Linked DNA regions of Mus musculus: region 2 is reported to be linked to region 1. The links are microRNA targets in miRTarBase. Many come from high-throughput screens and were not tested one by one. Region 1 holds a microRNA gene; the other region holds the end of a gene's coding sequence.

Region 1 (11,748 bases):
AAGGCGTGCGCCACCACTGCCTGGTTGAAAAAGTCTGGTCTCATCCCGAATCCTGTGAGCTACACAGCTGGTTTAGCTTCACCCAGGGCTCTCTCCTCACCAAGGCTGCATTGGAGCAGGCTCCAGATTCTGTTCAGCTCTTCTGACTCTCTCCACATTCCACCTACTGAAAGTCTGAGACAAAAGAAAATGTTAAGATGTTAGAGATGGAGAGGTGGCTGTCAGTAAAGATTATGCCTTACAAGCATGATGTCCTGAATTCAAATACTATGATCTTTGTAAAAAGCTGAGCATGGCAGTGCACCTGTAATCCCACAATGCTAAGATGGGAGGCACAGACAGGTGGGTGGGTCTCCGAAAACTCTCAGACCAGTTAGCCTGCCCTGGTGTGGTCAAGTTCCAGGCCAGTGAAGTCTCTTAAAGGAGATGTGAAAGGCACAGGATGACCCACATGTAACGCTCTCCTCGGGCTGCACTTATACACTGTGCACACATTCACAAACATGAAAGAGAGGCTGGAGAGATCACTCAGTGATTGTGTGTTCACTGCCCTATCACGAGCGGAGTTCAGATCCCAGCACCCACATTGAGCAGCTTACAAATGCCTGTTACTCTAGCTCTGGGGAAATTCTGTATCCTGGCATCCATTGGCACATCATATACATACATACATACATACATACATACATACATACATACATTCATACATACATACATACATACACACACACACACATAGCAAATTAAAAAAGAAGAGTAAGAAAATACTGGCAAAGAGGCATCACCCTCAGAAGGAGGAGAGAGAGACAGAGGAAACAAGCTAAAGGCTACCTGCCACTGGTGCACCTGGGCCATGGGTACCTGGTGCTCAAAACAGAATTTTCTCTAATAGAAAACAGAACCAGAAAAGGCAATATAGGACCTACCTTTGGAAGTTCTTCAAAACGGAAAGTGTGGCATTGTCTTAGGATCCAGCAGCTCCACTCCTACCAGTATTCCCAAGAGGAACAAAGATGTACAATGACACAGAAGCATACAGGAACATTCACAACTGCATTGTTCATGATAGCAACAAATGGAGACAACCCCCCATGTCTAAGCAACTGACAAATGGACACACAACAGGCAGCCATCCCTGTAACAGAACAGTACTCAGGCATAGGAGGGAATGAAGTCTTGAGCTGGGGATGGGTGTGTGTGTGTGTGGTACAAGCTGATAGCATTGGCAACTCAGAAAGTGCAGGCAGGAGGATGAGGTGTTCAAAGCTAGCCTTGGCTACAGGAATGCCTATCTTAAAAAAAGAAAAACCCCCAAACCAAAATAAAACAAACAAAAAACAAGGAAAAGATGGAAGATGGGGAGGAAGGGGAGAGAAGGAAGACAGTCAATCCACCCTGGTACTACAACATGGCTGTACTTTCAGACCACTGTGCCACATAAAAGGACTACAGACTACATGGAAGTAGAGCTGTGCCTCTCAGGGTGGGGGCAGAATGACAGGTGATGGGGAGGCTCAGTTGTTCATTTTGATAATGGCTGCATGACATGACACTGAATATACCCAAGGCCAACTGCCACACTTTCAACATGAATGTTACCATTTCAAGTGGATCACTCAATAAAACTATTAAAATCTCACTTTATCCTTCTCCAGGGTGCTAGGGTTACAGGCATACACTGAGTTACATAGTCAAGGCTAGTCTAGATCCCACAATCCTCCTGCCTCAGCCTCTGGAACGCTGAGTTATTCTTTACTGACTCATTCTTTACACCATCATATTTAACAGTCCAGAAACCCTGGCCTCCCACTGGGTCTCAGATCCACTCAGAATGGAAATTGAAGTGTTTTAAAGTCATACTTAGTTCTTCCCTTGGGAGAGGCTTCACAGACCCAGAACTCTATAGACCTTTAAATCTGTGTTGTCTTTGAATGCTACAGAGCCTGAACAGTGATGGTATTGAGGCAAGTTCGGGGCACAGCAAGGAGGATCTCAGGAGCTCTGAGCCTCCACCCTCACAGAGCTTTCCAGGAGCCAAGCAAGGCTGCCAGAACTGACACTGCCTCCCTAGACAGGGTCAGGTGCTTAGGTAGGTTCAGGTCAGGAAAAAGAATGACCTATGACTCACTGAGATCCTAATTACTCCATGCTAGTGTCTCAAGCTTCAGTGGAGAAGGAATCTGTCCTGTCCTCAGCAGCCACCCTGCCTGTGATAGAGAGGCAGACAGGCATATATGTGAGCAGCCAATCCTAAAGGGATTTTTCTCCTGGGAGATTTAACCCCATTACAGAACACTAGATTGGGAGCTGGGGATACAACTTAGTTGGTAGAATGCTTGCCTAGCTTGAATGGAGATGCCCTAGTTTAAGGCCCACCACACTATGGCCTATACTCCCAGTACCCTGTTAGGGGATCCAGGCAAGAGGACCAGAAGTTCAAGTCCAGCCTTGATAAGTTCTAGGACAACCTGGTCTAAAGACAGTTTCAAAAAGTAAACCAACAAAACCCACCAAATGCTGGATTGATGAAGTGAAAAACTACCAATAGCAGAAGAGTGAAGTCTGTCAGAATACGGCAGGACAGAAGAACTTGCAAAATAAAAATGTGGAGCCCCTGGTTCCAAAATCATTAAGTTCAAGACTGCAACACTACAGGACCAACCCAAGTGTGGACCCAGGCCCTTTGGAAGCAGCCCAAATCTAGGCTTCAACAGCTTGTCTGCCAGGAACCCTCAGAGGAGTGACACCCACACCTCACCCTCCTGTTGCTGAGGCCCACTACTGAGGCTTCCATCACAGAGAGAGACTTTAGTAATATCCCTAGTGCCATCGGCCTGATGGGTAGCAAGATTCTGACTTCCAGTGCTTATCCGCGTACATTACTATGCTGTAAACCAGGGCTCCCATGGGACACCTTACTGCCCATTCTTACCCCATTCTCACTGCCACCCCATGGTTGTCTTTCTAGTACTTACAAATAAGGAAACTGAGGATCAAAAAGCATTATCACATGCTAGAGATTATAAAACTTGTCCCTGGAAGAGTCCAAATTCATATATAGAACAATCAAATATGTGTCTGTTTCCTTTTTTGTTGTTACTGGGTGTGTTCTGTTTGAGACAGGATCTTGCTGTGTCCCATGTCCCAGCTGGCCTGGAACTTGCTACCTAGAGGAGACTGGCCTTGAACTCAAAGGCCATCCTCCTGTTTCTGCCTTCTGAGTTCTGGGATTACAGGAGTGTCAACCACACCTGCTGCTGCCCATGTTTCCATGTTACTGAGACACCGGGACACTGTGCACTCAGCACAGAGTGTTTGCCCACACACCGGCTCTCCATGCCTCTGCTTTCTGTCCATCTTGTCCCCTTAAAGCAAGAAACCTTTAGCAGGGTCTGTGACTCACACAGTATTGACTTCCACACTTAGCACTGGGCTCTCAGCAGACATTTGCCCAAGGAAAGAGAGGGAGAGACAGAAGGAGGGAGGTTAGGAGTGGGGGAAGGAGGGGCTGTTCAGAACCAGTTTCAACCTCTAAAATTCAAGTCCATGTGGCTTAAAAGTGTGTCTTAGGGCTGGAGAGATAGCTTAGTTGATGAAGTGCTCACCTCCAGAACCCATAAAAAAGCAGTCTGGTGTCGGGGTATATCGTTGTAACCCCTGTACTGTGGAGGTGAAGACTGGAGAAGCCTTAGAGCCTGCTAGCCAGTAAATCCAGATGATGAGTGATATCCAGGTTCAGTTAGAGACCCTGCCTTTAAAAACAAACAAACAAACAAACAAACAAACAGTGTAGAGGTGGGGGGGTCAGGGAGAGAGGCAGAGACACACAGAGACAGGTGCACACAGATACAGACAGATACACAGAGGGATAAAGTGCCACAAAAACTAGTTTTAGTAGCAAGGCATGGTGCTGTAGGCTACTAATTCAGAGTCAAAAACAGAAGTTTCTGCAAGTTCAAGGCCAATTTAGGCTACAGCAAAAAAAAGTCCTAAAAGTTCTCCCCAGTGTGTGGGTGGAAAGAGATGCTAAGGGATGCCCCTAGGGCCCAGCTCTATCCTGGCACACTTGTAGAGTGGGGGCAGGCTATGCTCTGGCAGTAGGGCTGGCAGCTGTCTGCTGGCCTCTGTACCTGCCCTAGCTGGCCAGCCAGCCCCTCTGGCACCCTCAGCCCATGACACAGCATAAAGTGCAACTAGAGCCAGCCCCTTACTGGAGCCTGCTGGTTCCCTCTACACTGCCCTGGGGGGATTGGCTAGGAGCTGGTACTCAACCTAACACACTGTGGCCTTTTGAACTGCTGCCCTTCAAGGCCAAGAGAAGTATGGTGCCCCTGCCTATCCTGGTGCCCTGTCCATGAGACCTTGTGTGATGGCTCCTTAACCAGGGGTACTTATGGTGGCCTGTCCTAGAGGTTTGAACCTCTCCATTCCCCAGAGAAAACTGAGGAAAGGAACCTAGCCAAGAAGGAGTCATTGGGTTATGTCCACCAAGGACAGGAAGGGGCAGCCTCTGGGGATGGTGAGCCTGAAGTGGTTCTACCTTACTGGGAGGTTCACAGTCGGCGTTTCTGTGAGTATGAATGTCAGCTGTGCCCTCCAGCTTCCCCCACCAACCTTCCCAGGTGGGAACCAGGAATTTTAAAAGTTGACCTAGGGCACTTTAGAAACCATCCTGTTAGTTTCTGTCTCTCTGCCTCTGCATGGTGTTTTATAGTTTTCTTTCAAGAAACCTACTCTTTAGCCAGGTGTGGTGGCAGCACTTGGGAGGCAGAGGTGATCTTGATCTCTGTGGGTCTGTATAGCAAAGTCCAGGCCAACCAAAGCTACAAAGTGAGACCCTCTCAAAGGAAGGAAGGAAGGAAGGAAGGAAGGAAGGAAGGAAGGAAAGAAAGGGAGGGAGGGAGGGAGGAATGAAAGGGAGAGGGAGGAAGGAAGGGGAGGGAGGGAGGAAGGAAAGAAGGAAGGAAGGAAGGAAGGAAGGACGAAAGAAAGAAAGAAAGAAAGAAAGAGAAAGAGAAGGAGAGAAAGAGAAAAGGGGTTGAAAGTGAGAAAAAGAAAAAAGCGAAAGCCTCTCACTTTTAAGAAATTTAAATTCATGTGAAATATTCCCACCTTAAATGGAAACAAGTCAGCTGCCATAACTAAAACTTTACCATGCAAAGAAATGCCTACTAGCATGATTAATAACTTTATTCACAATTTATTTAAAATCACCTGGTAGATACGTAGGAGACTTGGAGATGCTTCTATTCTAAGCCGTGGGTTCCAGTAGAGAGGTAGTGAGGCTCAGAGAGATGGAGTTACTTCCAGTAGTGACAATGCTTAGTCAGGGTATGGTTAAGCAGGCACGCTGCTTCCAGAAACTCATGCTTGCAGCTGAGTTGTGGCTTCTAAACCCTCGGCTCGGAGGAATTTGCATGTATTAGAAAACATCAGTGCTAATGCTAATTAATATTGTAGGCACTGACCTCCCCGCTCCTTCAAGCACCGTCAAAGTTTGCAACCTTAATCCAATTACACCCTTGGCTACGTCCAAGAAACCCTTAGGCTAGTTCAGGGAGCACAGGCCCCCCTCCCCCCGCCCCCTTGGCAGGATGAGAGACTGAGGCAGAGAGTGGGAAAAGTGTCTTTTTTTCTGGGAGTTGGCAGGGGAGGACCGCCCAGGACTCTCTGCCAGAGTGAAGATCCTAGAGGCCCTGGAGGGACGAGGCCGTCAAACTGGTAACTCTTGTTTCTCCCTCACTTTCTTTGCCTCCCTATATCTGCAGCAGCAAAAGCAGCAATGGTGGATGGCAGCTGTAGCCAGCCTTTTTCCCAGGCTTGAGTGCCATCTTTTTACCTCTGGAGGGCAAAAAGCACATTTAGCAAGAAGCCTCATGTGCCATCTTTTTATTCACCACTGGCTTTGAGCACAGCAAGGGAGATGGACCCCAGAGCCTGAGCAGCTGGGGCGGAGGGTTCAGGGGACTCTATCTTACAGAGTTGCAGGCAGCTCCTGGCCCGGGGACCCCCGAGGAATACTGCAAGAGCAATAAGGATTTTTAGGGGCATTATGATAGCGGAATGGAAACACATCTGCCCCCAAAAGTCCCTCATTTTCCCTGCGGTAACCAATCAGCTGGCGGGAGCCGAAGGCTCACAGAGAGCCAAAACTAAAAAGGAAAAAACAAATGCAGAAAGTTAAAGCAAACTCCAAGACACGTGAACCTTTGGGGGGGGGTGCCAGGCACAGTCTCCGAGGAACCTCAGCATCTGTACAGCAACTGGCTGCATGTGTCCCTAGGCGGAAGCTTCCATACAGATACCTGAGCCCAAGTGTAGCGAACCACAGCAGGCTCCAGACTTGATCATGCCTCGATCATGCCAACAATGTCCTAAAGCCAGGCACGCACAGGGGCCGGGCCCCCTTTCCCCAAGCACCAACTATCCATTCCTGGTCCTCACTGATCAGTAGGGAGAACAAGTGATCCATCAGGGCCTTCCCTCCTGCATTGTGGGGGAGTGAGAAGCTGCCTTTGAGATGAGTGGCTAGTTCCATGGTTGACCGAAGGACGGGGTGAAGCCTCAGGGAAGGATAACTGAGTGTCTAAAGCTGATGGGCAAAGTCACTGTGAAGGGTCACATACTCACTTGGGGTCTGGGTAAGAAAGAATTTAAGGCAATGCTGTCCCCAAGACATACAACCTTGGCAGTTTCTCCATGAAGGTGCCCACCAGGTCAGCTGGCGCCCTGGGGTGTCTTTAGTAATGTGATACATCACACTAGGCCATCTCAGAGAAGACCCGGCCTAAGGCAGCCTCTGAGCTGAATGGAAGTACCCTAATCACTACAGCCTGGGGTAGAAGCCTTCCCACCACATCCCCAGCACACAAGTAGTTCCTTGGCACTGACCGGGTGGCCCTAGAACTCTGGTGCAGCCTCCAGGCGTCTGGGTTGGGCCAGTGAGGCTGCCATTTCATTATTATCATGTGACAGCCAGCAACTCAGCCCACAGCTCTCCTTCCAGGCAGCACCTAAAATATTCTCCGAGCGAACCTGAGGCTAAATATGGCTTGACCCACGAGCCCCTGGTTGGATCCTTTGATGCTGTGCTGAGATGCAATGAGGAGTCCACAAGGCCATCAGGAGGTCTAGAGTTCAATTACCAGGGCCAGTGAGAGTCCCAGGGGTTTGGCTGAGTCAGGACTGGGTCCAGTGTCTCTGCCAAGGCTCAGCAGGCCGCAGACTCCTCTTCCCTGCAGGCTTTAGGCGAGAATGCACACTAAGGCCTCACACTCAGATGATATCCAGGCATCTTAGATGTTGCTCCTTTTCTTGGTTCACTTGGCCCTCCCTCCAGGTCCTCAAATACCCTGCAACCGTCTCCCTGCTTCTAGGCCCATGGCTTGGCCCCTTCAGGCCTAGGTAGAGGAGGCTCAGCTCCTGAGAGTGCAGCAGGCTGCCTAGCTTTTGGAGAGATCTGCAAAGAAGTCCATGGTAGCTGAGATGAGATATAGGGCACCCCACCCTCTCAGCCACCCAAAATTGAAGGATCCTAGCCCTATGTGGACTACTTGGCTACAAAAGTACTTCTCTGGGATTTTCTAGAACCCTATGTGTGCTCACCAGGCAGGATCTCTGGGAAGGCCGCCCTGAGGGATCAAACATCACCTCACTAAACTGCTTCTATGCAGACCCCAGGCCACTATTTGGAGCTTATTTGGGCTCTAGTCATAGCAATCAGGCCATGTCTGGGCCTCAGTGGGCAGCGGTCCAGGCTGTCTTGAGCACTGATGCCAACAGGCCCCAGGCACAGCTCTCATGGATTATTCTAGCAAAAGAGCCCCATTTGCTGATGTCTCAAAACTCTGACAGCACACTAGAACTCAGCAGCTCTCTCAGCCCTGAACCAGCGTGCCTTTTTCTCCCTGCCTGGGCTCCGTCCTCAGAAGGAGCTTGCATGTGCCTGTGGCCTCAGAGTGGCTCTCCCTGGACCTTTGTGTTTCCAGGGTGTCCTTTCCTGCCACAATACATGAAACCCAGTAATGTGCACTTTGTGGGTCCTTTGTGAGGAAAATGATGGAAGAGCAGAAACTGTATCAATACCTGCCCATGTCCCTACAACTATGGGTTCTGTGAAGGCCACAGCAGAACGCTGGCAGCTTTGGGAAGGGACCACAAAGCGCCCGGGGTCTGGACTGGCACGGAGTGAATGAACTGAGGAACCCCAGAGTCTACTCTGCCCTCCGATCCCTCTCTCTTCAGCATCGACCCTGAAAAGTCTGCACTTATTTAAACCATGCTTCCGTGGGGCAGGGTTGCCTGGGGTTGTTTTCTTGTGCCAGATCTAAGAAGCAAGAAGGACTTTAGGTTAGACTCGTGGGTAAGGAGCAGCAGTCAGTCTACTGAACAGCCTTCTCTCTGTGTGCTTTCTAACAAGTAGCTCTGAAGTGGGGACTCCTGTACCTAATTTTCTTTTTCATATCTAAAATAGCCATTTATTACCTCGGGAGCTCTAAGTTTACTTAGCTCAAATCTTGTTGTTGTTTGTTTATTGATTTCCACAGCTAGGGATGAACCCAGGGCCTTTCCTAGGTAAGACTCCACCACAGAATTATACCCCAGTCCTTCTCTGGGTAGACGAGGGGACTGGGAAGCAGGGCTCGTCCAGCTTCTGCTGGCTTGAGGTGTGCATTTACACTTTGTTTTGAAGGGCCCGTCCCTTCTGTCTCACCCCTAGCTATAAGTTATTGACATATTTTCTATTGAAAATGTCCCCCGGACCACATATTGCAAAGGACTGAATTCAAAGTTACTCCCCCTGTCCCCTTTCTAAATCCACACTCCCACATGAGTGGCGGGAAGTAGCAACTGCTTAATGAGATTTCACACACACAGGCCAGGGGAGAAAAGCCTAAATGTATTCAGAGTATTCAACAGTTCCTTGTCGATTTTTTTTTTCTTTCTCTTATTGGCAGGGGAGGGAAGCGGGTGGCAGCTGAGGACGTGAAAAGACTCTCGCTGCTTTGCTGACGTCATGACTGTGACCTCTCACTGATTTATAATCTCACCATGCTACTTTACCTGCTTGTAAACTCTGGCTGGGGGGAGGGCATGGGGGGGGGGAGTTTGCTAAATATATTCATAATTACATGTGTGGACCCAGAGGGCTGAATGTAAACACTGCCCTGTGTTTTGGGCATGCTCACCTTGAAAGCAGGGATTGGTTCACATTTAACACTGAATTCAGCTTGACTTTCTGCACTTTAACAGTTCCGTAATTTTCACCTTCAGCTTCCTCTGCTCCATGACAGCTCATGATCTGAGCATGTCATCGGGTGCTCTGGGCTCGTTAATTCACAGAAAGCACTCTATTTGTCCAAGTATCATTAAAGACTGATTTGGTGACATTATCTAGCAGAGTAGAGGGATCTGGCAGCCAGTTCAAGGTGGTGAGTCCCCAAAGCACAAACACAGCTCACCCTGTGGCCATCGCCCACAGGTGAGCCGCAGCACCACTGTGGGCTCCTGGAATTAGTGTGGGCTCATTGTGTCGCGTAAGGAAAACAGGGAACTGTGAAAGTAAAGAACTTTTCTTGTGTGCCAAAGCAGGACAAATGTCACCTGTGTGTCCATGTGCCACCTAGAGCAAATCACTCAATCTGGTACCAAGGATTCAGTTCAAAGTCACCTGAGGCATTCTATCCCCTGCTGTGAACACTTAAATTCAAATTCAAGTTTGCAAATGGCTGGCCCAGAGTGTGTGGGTGCATATATGGAATGTGTGTGTCTGTTGTCATTCAGGTGACTGAATGTCCTGAGAGGGGCATTTGCTTGCATGCCTCTTGAACTCATTGTCCAGACTTTCTTATACAATGCTTTGTACAACACTGAGGAAAGAATTACAAATCCTTAAGTCTAGGTGGAAACAAAGAGCCGGCTGCTTGCTCCTTTGACAGATGGAAGCTGGAGTCCTATGCATAGCATTACAGTTTATGATCTCGGTGATGTTTAAGGGTTCCACCTTGGGAAACACATAGTTGACAGTTTCCTTCTGGTCTCATTCGCTGAAAGGCCTCAGGAAGCCTTTCGGGGATGTATGTGTGTAGAACCTGAGCTGCCCCCTTCTGCTATCTTTTTGCCTCTCAAGAAGAGGGGCCGCGGTAGGTTTGTTCCGAGAATTTGGCACGGAGCTAGATAAGAATACCCTCCCAACTCCTCCCGCTCCAAAACCCCCTTCCCTTTGACGGAATGAGACAGCTTTCCTTTGCCTCTAAAGGTTTTAGTTTCAGATCGGTAGCCTGGGGTGTGTTGGGTCACTGTTCTCCCTCCAGCGCTGCCAAGGCCTGAATCCTTTGCTGTTAGGATGACCCCAAAAGCGGGACTTTGTGGGCCAGTTGGATAAAACACAAACTCATCTCGCCCTCAAAACCCCGATTCTGGGCCCACCGCCTCCAGAGCCTCTTCTCTGAAGTGAGCCCCTCTGGGGTTCGCAGTTCCCAGCTCCGGGCAGCCTTGCCCTAGAGACAGGGTTTGGAAGAAGGCAGAGTAACTAAAAATGCCTACCTCTTCCTGCTGTAGGGAGGTTCATCTGCACCCCCCCCCCAAAGCCAGGGAGTCACTGTGGAGGGAGATACTGTGTCTAACTCTGCCATTCATCCCACATGATCAAGTCTGAAAACATTCCAGCAAATACCAGGGTTCTCGAAAAGTCCTTTTACCAAGCATAAATCTCAAACACCCCACCCCATCCACCTCCAGCTAAATAAAGTTCCGTTTATACTCTTAATTGTCTCATTAAAGTCAAATTTGCTGTTCAATCCAGATTGGGAGAAATTATTTCCATCTTTAATAGCTTAATTAGGCTTTGGGTTCCCAAGAGGACACCGCTGCAAGCACACCTTTTCTCCCCATTTTAGCCCCCTCCCTTTTTCACAACTTCTCCTAAAAATAAATTATAAATATGGATGTGTCCTCAGAAGACGTGAATGGCACATTCCTCCGCTCCCCTTAGTGGGACTGGAAGCAAGAAAAACCAGAACCGTCACCCTCCCGACCTGAATCAAATATCTTTTTCCTAATCACCCCCAACTTGGTGTCGTCTCAGTCCCAGACATCCGGATCCTCACCCTAAAACCTAGTTTTAATCTATTTATTTTACACTAGTCCGGCTAGGCTACAGCCAAAGAGCCAAAGCCAACTGCTCCTAGAGGGAGGGGGTCCCCTAACTTTATTTAGGGGAAGGTAGTAAGCTGCTTCAGACTCTCGGGGACCGGCCCCTAGCGCGCCCTGCCAGCCGGGCCTCGGGACGCACGTGGAGTGTCGGGCGCGGCAGCGAGCCAGCAGCTTTTGCTCTGCGCGGCATTGATATCGGGGTCACGCAGCGAGTCAGTTTCTCGAATGGGTTTTCCGGAGTGGGGGCGGGGTGGTTGATTTTTCTACCTCCTGGTTCATCTCCAAGCCCTAGCTAGCACTAGGGAAGTCGGAGCCGCCTTGTCCCTGTCCCACCTCCTGGTCTCACACACGCCCCATTGGGAAAGGGGCTCGGGTGGGGATCATGTCTGCAGCCGTCAGGGTGGTAGCAGCCCAGACAAGCTGGGTCCCGGGAAGAGTCGAGCCCGAGCCCCCACCGCTACCTCCCCTCTCGGGCCCCCACCCACCCAGCCCGGCAGACAGCCGCCCCGCACCCCACGCCCCAGGGCCTGGACACCCACCTGCCCGGCTTCCTGCCCCAGCCCGAGGCAGGGAGCTGTGCAGGAAGAGCTGGGA
Region 2 (11,748 bases), not on the chromosome of region 1:
GTCTCCTGGACTCATTAATCAACAGGAAGTAGTCTAATGATAACATCATCCCCTTTTCCTTTATCCATTTTTTTCTCTCCTATGTAGTGTTAAGGTGTCAAGAGGATGGGAAAAGGGTATAAACCCATAGAGGAAATGGCCAGGACTGAAGGGATGGTATTCTTTTCAGGACATCAGCAAAAAGTTTATTGAAGCTGCTACCCCTGGGATATCCCCCTCCTCTGCTCCCAGAGGGATTTTTCTGAGTTTTTTTTTTTTTTTCCTTTTCTTTTTCTACTTCCTATATTCAGTTTCAAAAAAGGTTGGGAGAATGGCTGAGCAGTTGGAAAAATTGCAGGTGGAAATAGAGGGGCCCAAGAAACAAAAGAAAAAAGTGGCTGAAATGGGAAACAAAATGGGTCAGTGTGCTCTCGATTTTCTGAAAAGGTTGCAGAGTTGGAGGTGCAACTGGGAAAATTGGAGGTGGAAGCTTTTGGGAGGCAAGAGCACAGGAAAAGAGTAAACAAAAAGGTCTCAGTCCTGGTGACTGAGCAAGAAGTGGGGGTCTCCCACATGAGGAAAAAGGGAGAGAGACTGTGCCAGACGGCAGGTGGGTCAGAGAAAGGCTGATAAGGTGGGAGGACAGACTGATGAAACAGTGCATTTCGAAAGAAAGGGTTAATCTCAACCAACTAACCCAGCAGAGTTAGAGCAGGGGCGGCTTGGGGTAAAACCACTGTAAGCTTTCCCAGTAGTCATACTGCATGTGCTTACTAACAGGGTGTGGAACACGGTTATGATGAGATAGGATGTCTTCCTATAGATAGAACTGATCTAAGACATTTTAAAGAGGCTATGATTTCATATGGGATGCACTCACCTTATGTGAGACAAATTCTAAATAACTGGGCTACTCAAAATAGAATTATTCCCCGTGGGGCAAAAATGGGGTCCCACATCCACTCCGGGTTAGGGCCGCTGGACGAGGACGACTCGGGGAGTTTGACTGCGTGGGCCCCAGGCCTCCAGGAGCCAGGCGCCCCGTGGGCGTTTGACTGTGAGAAGCTGTGGGATCCCACTAGGGGGTGAAGAAGAGCACAGTCTGGGGTCCTCACAGAACTTCTGGACTTGGGCTCCGACTCTTGGGCACCACAGACACCCCCTAGGCACCACGGGAGAGCGGATTCTGGGGTCCCTGGGCCACACGGAGGCCAGGGACGACAGTTTCTCACTCTCGGACATCCCAGACTTACCTGTATGTCATGGAAGAGCAGAGAATAGGTGAGGACCCTCAGGCGTACTCTGGCTCAGGGGCTGAAGGAAAAAGAGTAGGGGGAGAGCTCTGGCAGGTTACCGCGGGGGGAGGAGAGAGTCTGGACAGCTCAGGTGGCTAGCTCTGTAGGCAGCTTGGGTTGGTGGCTTCAATGAGCAGAGACGGTTCATGGTTTTAAGGCATTTATTGTAGAAAGGCAGAGAGAGGGAGAGGGTAGAGAAACAGAGGGCGGCCATGGCCACGTGGAGAGAGGGGGAAAGGGAAGGTGGAGAGAGGGGGAGCAAGGGAGCAAGAGTAAGAAAAGAGAATAAGAGGTAAGAGATGGCTCAGTGGGTAAGAGCACCCGACTGCTCTTCCGAAGGTCCAGAGTTCAAATCCCAGCAACCACATGGTGGCTCACAACCATCCGTAACGAGATCTGACTCCCTCTTCTGGAGTGTCTGAAGACAGCTACAGTGTACTTACATATAGTCAATAAATAAATCTTTAAAAAAAAAAAAAAAGAGGTAAGAGATTAAGAGAGCAAGGAGGGGGCAAGCAGCTCCTTTTATAGTGGACTGGCCTACCTGACTGTTGCCAGGTAACTGTGGGGGTGGAGTCCAGACAGAATAGCAGGAGCTTGGGGCATTGCCTAAGTGACTGATGGCCACACACCTCTGTGCAGGGACCTGTGGAAGGCTGTGGCTAGACAGGAATCAGGGGCCCAGGAGGCGTGGCCGAACTTCTACTGTCCCATGAAAGCAGAAGTCACGGTCCACCAAGTCTCCGGGGTTCCAGGCCTGTGCTAGACCAGGAACCAGGCTGCCTGTGTCACTGCCCCACAATTCTCCAATACTGGAATTGACATGGTGGAGAGAAGCTTGGAATATTAAACAGGGAAGTAAAGCGAGAGGATGAGTATAACAGATCAGCTGCTGAGTGGAGGGTAGTGCTCTGATATACATGAACAGGTTCAATTTGATGAAACTACTACAGAACAAAGCTGCTTAGCAGCTGCAAGAGCTTGGGACAAAGTTGAGGAAGCAGAGAAAAGGCCACTTCATTTGCAAAGACTATAGAAGGCTCTGGAGAAGACTTCACTAATTTTTTTACAAAGATTAGTCTCAGCTGTGAACAAAGTCATATCAGACCCTGATTCAAGGCAGGTGTTGATAGAGACCTTGGTGGTTGATAGTTTCTGTGATTGTGTGACACTTGAATTCTGAGGACTTTTGAGAGAGTATGTAAATGCTGTGGACCCAAGGGGCAGGTTGTTGGTCATTGTTGGTCATAGTTAAGTAGTTGTATATAAACAAGTTATTAGAACATTAAAGGTTCAAACAGAGCCCGTGGACGAATGGAAAAGGGTTATGACCAATATTGGTTCTAATGTGCACTATGCTAATGTCATAGGTCAAGCTATAGCTAGGGGGGTCTCCATTATCAAAATGCCCAATGCTTCAGTTGTGGGAAATTTGGTCGTTTGCAAAGCTACAAGCCTCTAGAGGTCTCAGATCTCAAAGTGCTGGTGCATTAAATACAATACTTTGTGCAGGGAATGTGAAAGGCATCTCCAGGGGTAATGTTTTTTCCTAAATCTCAAACAAACCCAGGCTTCCCTGGGTATGCAGGCGATGTGGCAAGGGTTGCCATTGAGCCAATGAGTGTTGGTCCAAGAGAGACCCAAAGCAATTTCTTACCATCAGGAAACGACTTTGAGAGCCTGGTTTGAGGTCCCACAGAAATTATGGGCCATTTCTGACAGGAGCAGCTGAGAGTCACCAGGTTAAAAACAAAAAACTGTGGAATTAAATCATCCTATATACATGAGGATGTGTTAACATCAGAATGGAAGCCTGTAAAAGTTTTGCATTGGGGATGTGGATTGTTCTTATTTCCATAGGAAATAAAAAGCTGTGGATACCATCAAAACTGATAAAGATTAGAATTGAGCAGGAAAGGTCTCCTGAAAACCTTGGCCGCTGATATGAAAGTGCTTATTTCATTGAAAATGTCTCTGTTTATGATTTCCTGAAACACACAGCACACTTAATGGCTTAAAAAAGAAAGGGGAAATGTAGTGAAAATTTTGGTTTCTTTAAAAAAAAAAAACACTGAAGAATTATAAAAATGTTTTCATTTTAATCCCAGGTGTGGGATATGAGGTGCTTCAGATTGTCCACAAGAGCTGACTATGATTTGCCTCGTGCTCTGGCAGGGGTATGATCTTGCCAGCTGCAGATAATTTCTGTGATTGTGTGACACTTGAATTCTGTCTGGGGACTTTTGAGAGAGTATGAAATGCTATGGACCCAAGGGGCAAGGTTGGTTGTTGGTCATTGTTGGTCATAGTTTGTTAAGTAGTTGTGTGCAAAGCAAAAGAAATTAGATATCCTGACAACAGAGATCAAACTTGTCTCGAGAAACTTGAATGCCCTAATCAGCAGGAAGTAGTCACCTCCTTTCCCCTCCATCCTTTTTCCTCTATCTAGTGTTAGGTAGGCTAAAGGATAGAAAAAAGGGATGGAAGGGGTGTAAGAAAAAGGAACCCACAAAGTATCAAAAAAAACCAAGTTATATAAGTAGTATAAAGGGGCGTTTAGAGAGGAGGGAGACAAGGCCATGAGGGCAGGAATCAACTGAAATAAGAGCTGCATGGAAAAGCAATGTGGAGGTCGGTGGGATGGGTCAACAGGAAAGGGTGCTTCCTGCTCTTCCAGAGGAACACAGTTTGGTTCCCGGCACCTGAGCCATGACTGTCAACTATAGCTCTATGGGATCTGCTGACACATAAATAAAACACAGAAGGGTCAAAGACACCAGGAGGACACAGACCACAGAGTCAGCTAAGCAGGAACCATAGTGTCTCACTGAGTCTGCCTGGGACTGTGCTAGGCCCTCTGCATATATATCATGGTGGTGTAGCTCAGTGTTCTCGGAGGACTCCTAACAGTGGAGTAGGAATGTCTCTAACTATTTCTCGTGCTCCTCAGACCCTCTTCCTCTTTCTGGGTTGCCTTGTCCAGCCTTGATATGAGTCTTAGCATAACCTGTTATACCGTGTTCAGTTGATAACCCTGGGAGGCCTGCTCTTTTCTGAAGGGAAACAGAGGAGAAGTGAATCTGGGGGAGAGGGGAAGGAATGGGGAGGAGTGGGAAGAGGGGAAACTGTGATTGAAATATATTATAATGTATGAAAGAATAATAATAAAGAATAATTAAAAATTAAAAATGTATTATAGAAACCTATTAGTTAAGCAGAAAAAGGCACTTACAGCCAAGCCTGCTCGCCTAAGTTCAGTTCCTGGGATCCAGCTGGTAGGAGAGAACTGACTTCTACAAGTTAGCCTCTGATCACACATCACTATGGTACACACACACACAGAGTATAACTTTTTTTAAGAGAAGAGTTTGCCAGGAGGTACCATACATGTGTAGACAACGCTGTTCTCAGAAGCCATACCTTATTTTTCTTTAACATTTATTTTGTTTTTACTTTATGTATCTATTTAAGTGCTTGCATGTATGTCTGTGTAGCACATGCATGCCTGGGGCCTACAGAAGTCAGAAGAGGTCATCAGACCACCTGGAAGTGGAGTTACAGATTGTTGTGAGCAGCCTGATGTGTGCGTGTATGTGCGTGTGTACATATATGTACTTAATAGACAGATGGATAATTGACAAGGTGTGACATGTCAGGTAGAGAGGGACCAAGTGAGAAGCAGAGCCACTCCACTGCTGCCTGCCACTCAGCCTCAACCTGGAAATCCTAAGTCTCTTCCTTTTATCTCTTCCAGTATCACCAGGCTCTGGTCCAGGTGAGACGTCCCTCCCTTCTTCCTGACTGGGTGCTGGGAGAGTCTCTAGGCTGCTCTACCATGCTTATCTTCAAAGTTAGCATACTCATCTCAAAGGGACAGAGGAGGAGAGGGATCTTGAGGACCAGTCTGGGCAGCCTCTGGCAGCACTGTCACCTATAAGCCAGCCTTATAGCAAAACTCACCGCTGCCTTTGCCTGGCACATGCAGGCATCATCTCTGCAGGGTGTGTTCACAAGTCCAACAACACAAGTGCACACAAACCTGCACACATAAGCAAGGGGAATCGTCACTATCCTCAAGATATATGCTTGACTTACTTCCAACAGAATGAGCCACCTTGCAACCTCCATCTTCTCAGCAGCTCCTCTGTGGCCAACAGTCACAAGGGACCAAGGTAATCAAGGTAAGATCACCTGGAGCTAGACACAGGTATGTGCTGGTCACAGTGGGGAAGCCAGACCCATGTGAGACCCAACTATACAAGGTCAACCTAAAGCCAATGAGGGGTAGGGAAGCTGAACTCTGACCAAAGAGAACCCAGGTGGGTGTGATGCCGGACTTGTGAACTATTTGAGAGGGACAAGTGTGTGGTTTTACCATGTAGGGCTGACTTAGGACCAGTGCCCAGGAAGTAAATCAGCATGATTGTGAAGGGTTGCACTCAGGGTACAAGTAGCCTATCAGACTCAAAGTAGCCCACATGGCTTGGTTGTCCCAAATCCAGGACCATATTGTCTGGCTCCAGGAAACACTCTCCATCTTTTATGTACATGGGTACATGGGTATATGAGAAGGCATGTGCCCGCACATGTGTGCGCGCACACACACACAAACACACACACAGAAAAGGGGAAGGATATCTGGTCACCCCTGTAGGCCTGGACATAGAGAGGCCAGGATCCCTGTACAGAGGCTCTGGCACTGCCACTTAAGTACGTTTAGAACATAAACATGAGATACAGCAGGTGATGGCTGAAGCTAACCAGCACCCTGGAGTCTCCTCAGGATAATTATTTATTATTCATAGTCATCAGCATCTTCATTAATTATTCATATGATCCTTAATTATTATCCTTAACAATAAGAGCAGTAAATAGCAGAAAAGTCCTTGAGGTGCCTAAGGCCCAGGGCCGGTGCCTCCGGGCAGTTAGACCAGCTAATGCCCCCAGGGCAGTGGGGGGACCACAGACCCCCATCCACTGCCCAGCTCTGTCCTGCCCCTCCCAGTGGGGCCCAGGGTATTGCAGGAGGAGATGCTGGTCCCAAGGGTGGGGATGGAGGTGCTTCTGCACAGGTCTCCCCTCCAAACCAGGGTCTCCAAGGAGAGCGGTCAGGTAATGCCCTGAACCCAGGGTGAGCCACATGTCCACAGTGGGCAGCATCACTAACTGCCTGGATCTGAGCCATGTCTGTGCAGGGGCTGGGAGGTAAGGGCCCCCAGCTGGCCGGGCAGGGAGAGGCGTCGAGTGGGGCCATCTTGGGGGAGCTCTGGGGCTCCTGCAGGAAGCTCCTCAAACGCCACGAACTGGGAAACCTGCAAAGACCACAGAGCTTGAGAAGGCACTCAAACGTGGGGGAGGAGGAAGGGGCGGAGACCGGAGGTCAGAAACGTGGGGGAGGAGGAAGGGGCGGAGACTGGAGGTCAGAGAGGCTTAGGTGGGCAGAGTGGGGACCTGAGGGGACAAGAAGGCTGCAACTTCTGTAAAGAAATGCACCTTTGTGGCAGGAGCCAAATGAAAGGGCTGAGAGCCACTCACAGCCACCCTGACAGAGGACCTTGCTCTGGACCCGGAGAAGCTGGATTCCAAGCTCTAGCCTCTCCCTTCCCTAGGGAATGTGCCAGGGCAGCGGGAGCAAAGCCTACATGGAATAAGAAGTCCCTGCTTTGGGAAGGCAGCTAAGACAGAGAGAGACAAGGTGCCTCCTTGCAATTTTCCAAAGAACCCTGGGGCCCTGGAAACAACAGTGGGCCAGCGGCCAGGTCTCTGAGGCCAGGGAGAGCGCTAGGGCGGGCAGGAGGGATTTGTGGGTGCTGACGTGTCTACTGGTGAGATCCCTGCGGGGGAGGCTGTGAAGGGAGACTGGCACATTTGCTGACGTGGGCCCTGGTGTCTGCAAACAGGAGCAAGCAGCATATGGGACAGGGAGCAGAGCTGGGGGTGGGAGTAGATCCCAAGCCACCTCTGGGTGCCATAGGAGCCCCCACCCCCACCCCCTTCAAGCACCTATCAAAGCTAGAGCTGGCAGAAAAGACCCAGCTACAGCTGTCCTTCAGGAGGTTACTCAAAGAGAAGAGATGTGGATCAGGGAGGTCCTATCTCAGAGCCTTGATCTTGGCACCCTGGACATGCCAGCAGCCTTCAGGAGGCTATAGCACTGCTAGAGTAAGAGCCAAGATGAGAGGCGGCAAAGTCAGAGGGGGATAACCACAGCAGGGACCACTCTCAGGCAGCATCCAGACCCAAGGCCCAGGCTCAGACATCATGTTTACATCTGGCCCTTAGGTTGCCTGGCAGGAGCAGGTAGAAGAGGATGGGGGTGAGGAAGCCACATTTCACACCCAGCAGCTGTGCAGTCGTTGGGGCAGAGAGGGTGCGGCTGGAGGCTGGGAGTGGGCTCTAGAATGTACCTGAGAAAGCGAGTCCAGGGTGAGAGTGGGGACAGGGCCGACAGGCAACAAAGGGGATGCGGAAGTGGGGCCGGGCCCAGGGGTGGTCACAGCACTGTAGGCAGGAGGGACCAGGGTCATTTGCCTCTGTAGCAGCTGTAGGACAGTGGCCATGTCTGCACTTAGCCGGGTTTCCAGCCTGGGGCAAGGAAGGAAGATTTCTCAGAAGTGGAGATAGCTGGTTCACTCTAGGCTCCCTCCTCATGCAGCTGAGGAAGGAGAGGGTCCACCTGCCTGGCACAGACAGTCCTAGACAGAGCACCCCTGAAACATCAGCAGAAACCCAAAGAGGCCCCAAGTTCCCCCACAGTGCAGCCTACCCCGTGCCCATTCCCTGGGCACCCATCTTTACCTGTTCAGCTGTCTCTGGAGTGCGTCCAGCCTGCTCTCCACATCACCCCGGGATCGCCGACCAGGGCTAGACAAGGGGATGTTGAGGAGGCTGGGGGCAGGGGCAGGGCATCGAGGCAACTCCTGGTACTGGCGCCCCCGACTGTCCCCCCAGAAGCTGAAAATATTGGACACCCCAGAGAAGGCACCTGGAGCCAGAGAGGAGTGGGGTCAGGAAGAAAGTCAGGCCCCTGCCAGTCCCTACCCATCCCCCATACTGCCCATCCCCCACACTCACTCACTCCCACCCCCACCCCAAGGCCCAGGCCTACCTGACAAGGGATTACAGGTGTCACTTTTCTCCCCATCCTCTGTCAAAGGCTCCCCACCTGGGGGGTCTCCCGGAGGCCTGGGGCTGGAGAAGGGCACCAGGCGGAGGGGACTGGAGCTGCGACCAGGGCCCTCATCTTCACTGCTCTCTGGGCTGGAAGGGCCGCTGGATGGGCTCTCCCCCCATGGCCCTCCCGGCTGTCCCCGGCAACTCGGCCCTGGCCCAACTCGGGCAGGGCCTTGCCCCAGGGCTGACACCTCCCCTGGCTGCTCTGTGTCTGTGGGAAACAGAGAGCATACCTCAGAGAGAGGGGAGAACAGGGGACGGGCAAGGGGAGCTGAGCAAGGGGCAGAGTGTGAGGACGGACAAAGTTGTTTTATCTCGCGCCCTGCCACACCCCGGGGGGGGGGGGTCACTTCTGACTCCAGATCTCTGGCTCTCTGTAGCCCTCTGCTTATTCCTTTGTTCTTGTGCTCCCTCCTGCCACCTCCCTCCTCTCTTTAAGGGGTCAAGGCCCGCTAGACAACACTCAGGCATAATAAAGACCAAAAGCCCAGCCTTTGTCCAGTGGAAGGGAGGCATGGGGGTGGGGTGCACTGGAGGACTGCGTGCCTGAACGCTGGGCAAGGGGTGGAGCCTGCACAGCCTGACCCTGCCCGCACTCCCCTCTGCCCTCCACTCTCCTCCTGCCCTCCCCTTGACCATCTCACCCTTGTCTGTACGCCTGCGGAATGACAGTTTGCGCTTGCGTTGCCTGTTAAAGCCGCTCTCTAGTTCTGCACTGCCTGGGGAGCCAGGAATCATGTTGGTCTGCAACGAAGAGAACAGTCAGAGCCCTTAGGTCCATCCTGCCTGGCTGTCCTGGAATATGGGGGTGGGGCAGGCAACTGCACCCCTTCCTTAACCTAGGGAGGTGGGGCTGTGGGGAAGAATTTTCCCTACCCCCATCCCACCCTGTGTCACTTTCCCCCAACACCCTGAGGTTGGTACTTCCATAGCCTGATCTGACTGTAAAAAGACAGAAAAGCAGGCAAAGAAGCTGTTTTCCACAGTCACAGGGAAGGGGCAGCCTGTCAATCATCAGCTCTCTTGGGGATAAAGGCAGCTCTTGAGATGGCCCACTCACATCTCGAAGGTTGAAGGTGATCTCCAGGCTAGACCAAAAGTGATCTGAGAACTCGGGATACATGTCCAACACCTCCAGCAAGTCATCACGATGGATCTTGTGCAGGTCACAGTACGTGAGGGCCCGCACATCCCCATTGGACTTTCCAGGACGGGCATATAGGTTCAGAGGCTCTCCAAAGATGTCGTTCTTCCCTGGAGGCCGTGCAGAAGACAAAGGCTTGAGCCCATGGCATCGGTGGGAGAAGAGCGGGCACCCTCTGGGTCAGCTCCACCCTGCACAGCATCTCCAGTCATCCAACTCCCAGCCACACAGCCAAGGCAGCTTGAGCCAGTTCACATGCTCAGGGCTCTCAGCAGATGGGGAAACACCAGTGGCCAGAGGTGGCAGAGGGAAGGACCAGAGATTTGGAGTCTCTCAGCAACTACTCAGCTAGAAACCGCCAAGGATGCTCCAGCTCTGCCTACAGCAGTGGTGGTTTCCTTGGGACAACTCTACTTCTATCCTCAGATACCCTCCTAACAAAGTACAGTTCCCTATAAACTATGGTCTTAAGACTATAAAAGGCAGCTTGTGGTCAATCAGAACCAGTACTGTTTTACTGAAAGAAATTTCAGGATAGCATAGCTTAGCACAGCGAAGCACAGAAAAGACCAAAATGTGCTCACGTGTGTAGGAAAACTTGATTTCGCTGGGAAGGGAATAAATTGTGGAGTGGTATACATGTTTGGGCTGAACTGTGAAATAAAAGTCTAAAATGGGCACGTCTATAAGCCATGGGCAAAAGTTTGATGCAAGAAACAAAAAACAAAAACAAGAAACAAGAAACAAGAAACAAAAAACAAAAAACAAAAAACAACCATGGGAGGGCAAGAAGCCTCCACTGTCCAAGTGCCATCCATGCACACAATGGCCACAGGCCATTGGGACATGAAGCTTCAGGGAACTGTGTCCTTAGTGAAGGTGGATGCATAGCCTCCAGATGAGAATGTCCCACTCAACTACAAGACAATATTCAACTTTAAGGAAACACTAGATGCCTTTCTATGGATAGATCCTGAAGTTCCCTCAAGTGCAGGGAAGGCTACATAGTCTCCCAATCTAAGAGCCCCGTGTCCTACAGGGTTCCTCTCTGTTGCCCACCCTGAAGGCCCCTCCTCGGGTGACAAAAGAACACAAGAATCCTGCCAGCCACCCCACACCCCAGTGTATTCAGAGGGCTCAGGTCTCTCTGGGTTTCAGTGGGCGTCCCCACCCCATACCCAAGATGGCCACCACGACATCACCCCGCAGGATCTCGATGGAGCCCCTGGAGATGAAGTAGAGGGCAGTAAGCAGGTCCCCGGCGTGCACTAGTGTGTCCCCTGGTGGTGCATGTGTGGTCTTGAACTTCATAGCCAGCGCCCTCAGGCAGCCTTTAGTGGCCCCTCGGAATGGCTTGCAATGCTGCAGCAGCGAGCGGTTCAGGTGTAGGCAGATGTCAGCCTGGAGGCACTCAGGGAAGCCCTTCAGCACCTGCAATGGGGATGGGTCAGTATGATCTCTCAAGTCTCAGTCCACTGGGTCACACCTCTGGCTCAGGGGAAACCTGCTCCTCCCAATTCTGTCTGCTGCAGAACCTGTGGGGGCCCAGAACCCCCTCAGCACCTGGGCACCCACCCTGACCAAGTTCTCATCCGGAAGTGCAGCAATTGATTTCCCATGTCCATCTGTCTTACATGGGATGTGTGAAGAACCTGGCCTCTCCCAGTGGGAGAACGCCAGATGGAGTTTCACGGTCAGAATCCTATGTAATCCTCAGGTTTAATAATTTAATACTAACTACAACCACCTGAGATATGCTGGATGCACCACAAGGGTGGCCCCACACTCATTAATGCCTCACCGCGTTCATGTCGATGCCATTGGTGTAGGACCAAGCATGCTGGAAGTACTCCTCGAGGCGCTGGCGTAATGGGTTGGGAATCTGGTGAAAGCGGATAAACTCCCGCACCCGGAGCATCTGTGTGTGGTAGCGGGCCGTGCCCGAGTACAGCCGCTGGATGATGGCGGACACGTTGCCGAAGATGCTGGCATACATGAGGGCTGGGGGCGTGGGTGAGTGGGGCCGTCAGCATCCGCAGGGACCCCGCCCGCCCACGGGGACCCTCTGCTCAGGCCCCGCACCAGGTCAACGACACTCGCGGTCCGGTCACGACTCAGTCTGAGAGTGGACATACACATGCTCAAACACACGCCAAC

The links. Region 1 holds the annotated microRNA mmu-miR-365-3p (UAAUGCCCCUAAAAAUCCUUAU, at 6,032-6,053, opposite strand). A microRNA usually pairs through its seed, bases 2 to 8, with sites in the 3' UTR of a target mRNA and lowers its output. Matches are read on the target gene's strand: a 7mer-m8 pairs with bases 2 to 8, a 7mer-A1 pairs with bases 2 to 7 and ends in A, and an 8mer does both.
Region 2: the mRNA of Kcnh2 is a reported target of mmu-miR-365-3p. Seed matches in the 3' UTR shown: 8mer at 6,388-6,395 and 8mer at 6,210-6,217.

The regions. Positions count from the first base shown.
Region 1 is chr16:13,448,200-13,459,947 of GRCm38, reverse strand. Mir365-1 (microRNA 365-1) reads right to left here and starts at 6,108; the gene lies at 6,022-6,108. The region is part of intron 1 of Gm32817 (predicted gene, 32817); the gene reads right to left. Gm53058 (predicted gene, 53058) reads right to left here. Exons shown (of 5, transcript NR_169187.1): 2 at 927-986; 3 at 101-174. Mir193b (microRNA 193b) reads right to left here and starts at 10,425; the gene lies at 10,347-10,425.
Region 2 is chr5:24,313,564-24,325,311 of GRCm38, forward strand. It overlaps Kcnh2 (potassium voltage-gated channel, subfamily H (eag-related), member 2), which reads right to left. Exons shown (of 15, transcript NM_013569.2): 8 at 11,393-11,592; 9 at 10,770-11,022; 10 at 9,508-9,701; 11 at 9,092-9,191; 12 at 8,383-8,658; 13 at 8,073-8,259; 14 at 7,682-7,859; 15 at 6,026-6,586. The coding sequence ends at 6,437. It overlaps Gm15589 (a long non-coding RNA gene), which reads left to right. Exons shown (of 4, transcript XR_003955875.1): 2 at 5,379-5,455. Among named protein-coding and RNA genes, the nearest start is that of Gm15589, 8.0 kb to the left of the region's middle.